Canis lupus familiaris: one gene and its partner. The protein of the gene in region 2 interacts with the protein of the main gene of each other region in a biochemical or structural test. Links are inferred from orthologs where the notes say so. Each region holds a gene or a part of one and is shown on either strand. Other genes may lie near its edges. The genes, in order: RPS6KA5 and CREB1.

Region 1 (3,823 bases), on a different chromosome or scaffold from region 2:
TGCTGAGCAAGTCTGACTGCCACCGCCACAGAAAATGTTCTCGCAGTAACCTCGAAAGCCTGTCACACTGATTTATGTCTCAAATGGATTACTTTACTAGCAAACATCTATTAGAGTCAGAAGGATAATGGATCAACTAATGAGCTGAATGGCTAAACCCATGGGTGAAAAGCCTTACAAGAAACCACTGCTTTTAAAATAAAAATCCTAATTTACAGAATTCATTGACCAGGATGAGTCCATACAAAAGAATGCCAGAAATGGTCCTACCTTTTGCTGATTATTTTGACTGCGAATGCTTGGTTACTTTTTTTGTGTATGCACTTCCGACAAATTGAAAAACTTCCCTCTCCCAGTGGCTTGTCCTTCAGATCCAGGTCATAGTGCTGATAGAAGGGGGAGTCCTGATAAGAAACCAACATCACTTAATTTCAGAAAATACTAGGAATGCAGAGGGATAAATAACATTGTGGGTAAAAGAACATTATCAATGTTAATAAATATGTGTGGGATACATTTATAATCTTCTAAGATTCATCTTGCTTTAGCTCATTTCTACTTTCATCTATATAACTTTTTAAGATACATAATTTGCTATCATTGCAAAACGGAGTTCACTGAAGTTGATATGACTAATTCTCTAGGGCAAATGCTGCTATTTCCACTTACTCATTTCCTAAAATTGCATCTTAGTCAAATGGTAAGTGTCTCACGTTCACTGGCCTTGACAATGTTAATTGGTGTTGGTATTTAAATCGTAACTATGTCATCTCATTGACCACATCTATACCTTCATCATCGCGCTCCTGGCAACATTTGTCACTCCAGGACGGTCAACTCCCGTGTGAAACTGAAGAGGATCTATGACAGCAGCATTACGCTTGAACAGAATGGAAGGAGCAACAAAGGAATAGCCCTTCAAAAGAAAAGGAAGAGTAAAGAATGAGGATTTGCAATTTTTCAGGTTAGCACAGACCAAACTGTAGCAATTTTTTCCTTATATCAACAAAAAAGAATGAAAAACATTCAAATAGGTGTTAAGATGAATCTCATTTTATTTGTGATCTAAAATGCAAGGTGATTTCACATCAATAGAAAAATGCTTTTCAGAAGGAGATAATGCCATCTTCTGGTAGAATTAAACCGATTCAAAATTAAAGGCAGAAAAACCTTACTTCCTAATCTACCCCCAGTATCTGACTCACAGCTGCGATTCTTTTGCATTGCTGATAAAAGTTCGCTTATAAAAACACAACTAACTTCTCAAAAAGGTAGAGTTTAAGGCATTAGACAAAGTGGTCCAAGGGCTACTGTTTTGTAGCAAGGTTCACTACAGTTAGTTTCTAAGTTAGCAGTTATTTGACTCAATTATTAAATTTGACTCAAATTTTAAATTGAGTTTTGGAAAAGAAATAAAATCAAATGGCAGAATGATGGCCTGAACCAAAAGTGGCATCGGGATAGATGATTAATCTGCTCAAGCTAGAACATTCACTAGTTCGAAGGATGTTTTTTTGAACATCTACTATGTACCCAGCCATGTACTACACATTTGGGTCATTAAGGGCCAGGGACACAGCCCAGGTGACCAGATGAGGCCATACTAATGGGATCCTTCTGGGACTCAAGAAGGAAAGCTCTGATGCCATTTGACAGTGAGTCTACTGCAAGTCTGAGAAAGATCTAAGTATAAAATCTTTTCTAGGATCTTTTTCAGGAGTTAGAAAGCAGTTAAAATTGTTGGCTGAAGATAAAGAATCAGATAATACTTTTAATGAACTGCAGAAAATTTTGTATGGATAGAGGTAAAATACAGTAGCATTGTATTTTTCTATAAAAGAGCCTGAACAGAAATGAAATTTCAAGGAAAAAAATCAGCACTTCTTTATATATAAAAAAACACATAATATCCAATATGTAACAGACCATAAACTTCAGTTGATAATGTGCAGTATTTCTATGTTTAAGAGATTAGAGAATCTTGCTTTTAAGATGCCAAGTACATGTTCATGGGAAAATTAGTCTTTTTTTTTCTTTTTTTTTTTTTCTGAGCACACATGGCCCCTGTGCATGAACAGACTCTTGGAGATTACCTGAAACAGCCTCTCGGAGCTCTGGGGCAGTGCTGCTGGGGAGTAGGTGGGATCCATCTCTGTGAACTCTTCTGCAAAGTTACTCACATCTAATTCATCTCGGATGACTGGCTTAAATGGCGCGGGCACTTTTTTGGCGGCTAAATCATCCCAATTTATTTTCTAAAACAGAGAAAAGAAAATTGGTACAAAGTAGAAACCAACAAAGTTGGAGTATTTTCTGAGAATTTTCTAAGAATAACAAGGACAGATTCGGGTTTTCATTGGTTGATACGGAAAGTACACATATTGCCAATCAATAATTAGAAATATGGTGGGTTATTTATTTTTTTTAAAGCATGAGCACATTTTCTGACTGCAGTTGATTGCTCCAGCCAATGCTGAAAGATGAGACTGCCCTTGGTCACTGTGGGGTCTTGCTGGGTCCTCTGGGGGGCACCGAGATACCCTAGGGATAACAGAAAAATTATTTTTGTCCTGACCCTCCTGAGAAAGGAGGCCAGAACAAAACAAAACTGAACTGTAATAAAGGGCTTTTCAATGCTCTATGGATATGAATATTAATTCTAAAGGAATATTCCTGTTTTCTAGAGGCAATGTTGAGTGACTCTCTGCCTATACTTGGTTTCCCTCCTGGTCCTCTGGACAGATCAGAAAATAAAAACTCACTATAAATCATGCACTTGTTTAGGTCTCTAAGTGAAAATGGTACTATCATACTAATGTAATCATCTGCTTCTCATTTAACTAGTATTCTAGCTTTTTAAATACTGCTCCTTCTCTCCCCCATAGGATAATCCAGGTTCCCCTCTTCCCTCATGCCAGACACTCACTGCCTGATAAACTGCTATGTGCTATGTTTTAGAGTACTCAAATTCAATTCTGTGCTCTATTTAACTTATGCTCCTTCTGTCACTTAAAACCACCTCAGACAAGACTTATTGAATTGAATTCTACAGCTATCCTATTAACATACTTCCTCAAATCTAAAATGTCATCACTGATAGTGAGATACACCATTATTTTATGTACCATTTAGGAAGAAAAGGCATTACCAGCTGGAATGGTTATGATATCCACTGTAAGACACATTTCGATTTCAGAGACGGTTGATGACAGTCGTTAAGTTTAATCAACCAACATAAAATGTTTTTATTATGCCCTCTTGTGGAGGCAATGTAGAAAAAAAAATCACTAGATTACAGGTCTTCACTTTTTTTATTTTTTCTAGCTTAGAGTGGGCTTTAGAGATCATTTAGCTCATCTCCTTTACTTGATCTAGATGGAAACTGAAGCCCAGAAGCAAGAGATAACCTTTTTACTTAAACATTAGCTAGTGGAAGGGTCAGTCTCTTGATTTTTTCTAGTTAGTGTTCTGTCCTCTGGGTGGCTGTAATGTTTTCCATTACAAGCATATGATTTGTGCTTGGCTATTTATACACACATTAAGAGAAACTATTAGAGTAAAGGGGTCATTTAAAGAAATATGTTGTTAGCAGGAGAACGTTTGGTGTGTAAAAGATTGAATGCTATTATGCTCCTCTCCACCTCCTCTCCATTTAGGTCTTTACAAGTTGGATTCTAGTTTTTCCTAAAGTGTCCTTGTTGTTTAAAAAGCAAGGCAATTAAATAGCCTAAAATTACTATTCCAAGCTATAGAAAAGAGAAATTTCTCTCATATGAAAGACATACTGTAATATTTACAAATAGAAGGAGTCATGGAGAATACG
Region 2 (3,823 bases):
ATTTTGCTCCTTTCTGAATCTCCAATTAAATTTCATAAAATTGATTTTGTTTTTACAGGTCCAATCACATGAGCAAAGAGTGGGAAAAGAGATGAGAGTAATAGTTTTGGATGCTGGGAAGACGGATGAATGGTAATGGACTTTGAAGATCTCAAAAGGCCAACTCATGATGTAGAGGCAAGGAAAGCCTGATTTGCACCATAAAATCCTTAAGAGGCTCAGTATCTAAGACACCTTGGAAGGTGGAGTAAAGAGAGAGGCTGAGAAAATAAGGCTAGTTAAAGGTTCTTTGAGAAGCAACTGGATCCCCTCCCCACGCTCCTTGAAGAAGAGTAATTAATCTACCCCATGCTGACAGAAAAACGGAGATTTAATTTCTGGACAGTGGTCTCCTGACTGCCTATACCAAACACTGCTGACAGTGGAGTTACTAACCTCCAGTCTTCTCTCTCTTAGCTCCCAGGCCTTTCCCCTAAGCAAGGGATTAGGAAGGCCTTCCCTCAGGAACCTAACCAATGACAAGGGGCTAAATTAAACAGACTTAAAAGATACTGACATTGGGAAAGCCATAATCACCCTACAGTGAAGCTCGTAATTCATAGCTGTTAGGCCCCAAACACATCCAGAGCTTCCAATAGTTTTTTGGTTTCCTGCTTTAAACTTGAACAGACAAGAACAAATTCTAAGACATTCGAGGAAAGTTTCTAATATAAAAGATGGAGACCAAAACACATTGAAGGGCAAAAAGCTATACAAAGGAAAATCTATGTGGGGAGAAGAAAACTTAAAACCTAATTAATATTCTCAGAGATGACAGAAAATACTGCCTTTGTAAAACATAACAGGATGCTATTAAAACACAAAAGGACCATTCAGAGAACAAAAGGAACTTTTTGGAACAGGAAGCTGAAGAAATCTCCCAGAAAGCAGAGCAAAAAGATGGAAAGCAGTAAAGATGAGAAAATTAGAGAAATAATCCCATAGGTATATCATTTAGATCACAAGGATCCTAGAGAAAAAGAAAGAGGAAAAAACACCTTCAACCAAATAATTTAAAGAAATTGCCCAGAATCAAAGACATGAGTTTGTACCATAAAAGGGCCCACTAATTATATATATAGCACAATGGATAAAAACTATCCGAACCAAGACCCTAATAATGAAATAGTGAAGCACTGTGAACAGAGAGAAATAAGATACTAGAGAAATAAAATAAAGCTGGGAGGGGCAGAGGGAGAGGGAGGAAGAATCTGAAGCCGACTCCACAAGTGTGAAGCCCGATGTGGGGCTTCATCCCACGATCAGGAGATCATGACCTGAGCTAAAACCAAGAGTGGGATGCTTAACCAACTAAGCCACCCAAGTGCCCAAGAAAAAATATTTTTACCAAGAATTTTTTTACCCAAACTTGCTTAAGAAACCACTGGAAAACGTTTTACTGTATCAAGAACACAAAGTCAATAACAGAAAGACAGTAAAGGGAAAGGAATTTCCAGGAATGCATTATACAGCAGACTTAGAGGACAAGCAGAGCAGACAGGATAGTGCCACCCAAGAGATAGGTATGAGGGCTGTCAGCACCAAGATTCCTTCTAGAACTGTACCTTCTTTTTACCAGAGGGTCAAATGCTTGTGTGAGCCCAGACTCTGATCTGTCGTGTTTGCCTTGACCATGTACTGATGAAGTCCTGGCTCTTTCCCCTTTTCCTGCACCTGCCTTATCCAAGTATTTATTTCATTCCCAGATATATTCTGCTTTGTCTCTCCCCTGAGGGTTGGAGGTCAGCCCTAGTACTCTTAGTAGAAAACATAGAGCAGCCCACTCCTTCTGACTATATCCCTGCTGGAGATCAAGTATTTGGGCCATACTTTAGTTCAGTGTAGTAACCATCTGTGTTTAGCCACAGATTCTCCAAGACCCATTCTTGCTCAGGGACTCTCTGAGGAGAGCGTTTAAATTCTTCAGGAAGGCGAAGCTCAACATTCCAGAACCTCTGCTGGAATTATTTTCTCCCGGGAGCCTTTATCAGAAAAAGGCAATATGATACTCTGATCTAGCAGGTTTATGTCTGTTACTTGGTTTTTATATTAACTACCTTTCTCACTCATATATACACAATTAGTGGTTAATAAAATAATTGAGGAAAAATACATCAGAACAAAAAATAAAAATGAGAGAATATAACTCTAGAGATAGAAATGTTTAAGACAGACAAACAGAAGGAATCATGAATTATATTTAAAAGATATAGGAAACAAAAACCCATTATCATTCTTGAAATTTACTTGTGTGTCAATCTATTTGCCTATCCTACTTTTTGGTTTAAGCACATAGAAAAGTTAGCCTGTCGGTTATCTAAATTCCCATGCCTCAAAAAATCTGTGTGATTAAAAAAAAAACAAAAAAAAAGAAAAAAAAAAGCTGTTACCTTATCAGGTATTCTTCCCTTGTTTAAGAGAGATAATCTCTTTCCATTAATCAAAATGTCATTATTCTGAATCAGATCACTACAAATAGGTAATTAGTGTTTTAACAATACATTTTTCTGTTCTGTTACTGAATCATTTCTAAAATTATGCTAATATACTAAGTAAACAGGAATGTTGATATTCTAAGAATGTCTGTGCTCATTCTATGCATCTCTCTGCAATGAAAACTAAATCTTTTTGTCTAAAACATATTCCTCTTGGAAGAGACGTAACTTGGAATCTCTCCATGTATTTTATACCTGGGCTAATGTGGCAATCTGTGGCTGGGCTTGAACTGTCATTTGCTGGTTTTCAGCTTCTGTTACAGCTGCATCTCCACTCTGCTGGTTCTCTGCTCCAGATTCCATGGTCATTTAGTTACCTACAATAATATGGAAGAGTGTTACAAGCACTACAGTGCTTTGTGCTTTTGTGACTTTAAACACAAATTTCAGGTTATAAATAGGTATATGTGCTCGTTAGGTTAGCAAATGTACTTCGAAATCTAGTTAAAAGAAAAAAAACTTGTCTTTTCCCTTGTTATTCCAACTATTTCTTCCACAAATCTCCCCTATTAACAAGGGGAGGAGGGTGCCAATAAAATTCTAATTTCTTCAAACTGTACTCCTCAGGTATGGAGAGAAGGTAGAGTAGAAGAGAGCTGATGCCAGGGTCTATGAAATATTGGCTTCATGGTACTTCCTATTAGGGTATTCCCTCCTTTTACAGGGAAGAAGTAGAAAATTATAAGCTACTTCCACAGGAAATTACTGGGGGTAGGACAAAATCAGCCCAAGTTGTGGGGTATCAAGATAGAAAGGTGGGATAAACAGCCACAGGGCCCAATTAGAGGCCCCAAACACTGCAAATCTTGGGTGTTCTGACTCCTCACCCCATGTACAGTGTACAACACTACACATGCACACAAACATGAAATAAAATTTTGAGTAAGTTAATCAAGGCTGTTCTTTTTCACTTTGGGGCCCTACTTTGCTAGTCTGTTTGTTGGGTAATCTAGCACTAAATGGCAGCATAAGTTAGTGGAGAACAATTCCTAGCAGCAGCAGCTACATGCAGATGAGATATTTCTTTCTGATAACAGAAATAAACTTCTGGTGATAATTATGTCTAAAAGATTCACAATAAAAGGGATTACTTTTTACTTGTGTACTACTGTTATCATTTAGTGCTTTGTATATTACCTGTCAAAAATGAATTTATTAAGAGTGATGATTGCCTATAGTGATTCCATAAATAACACAATAGCCCCAGTTCTTTTCCAGAATTTATTAGATTTATTTTATAACTCTGAAGTTGATAACCAAAATTGTGACTGATCCTTATGTGATTACTA

Evidence for each region.
Region 1: of the proteins of CREB1 (region 2) and RPS6KA5, one has a biochemical effect on the other in vitro, tested with the Homo sapiens proteins (3 studies listed by BioGRID, with this or other methods). The link is inferred for Canis lupus familiaris from reciprocal best matches to the Homo sapiens genes CREB1 and RPS6KA5.

What each region holds. Positions count from the first base shown.
Region 1 is NC_049229.1:62,155,296-62,159,118, forward strand, and holds part of RPS6KA5 (ribosomal protein S6 kinase alpha-5), read right to left. Parts: intron 2,256-3,823; coding exon 2,094-2,255; intron 917-2,093; coding exon 791-916; intron 405-790; coding exon 271-404; intron 1-270. UniProt on the Homo sapiens protein: Serine/threonine-protein kinase that is required for the mitogen or stress-induced phosphorylation of the transcription factors CREB1 and ATF1 and for the regulation of the transcription factors RELA, STAT3 and ETV1/ER81, and that contributes to gene activation by histone phosphorylation and functions in the regulation of inflammatory genes.
Region 2 is NC_049258.1:15,801,849-15,805,671, reverse strand, and holds part of CREB1 (cyclic AMP-responsive element-binding protein 1), read right to left. Parts: intron 3,426-3,823; exon of another isoform or gene 2,852-3,425; 5' UTR 2,844-2,851; coding exon 2,730-2,843; exon of another isoform or gene 133-2,729; coding exon of another isoform or gene 59-132; intron 1-58.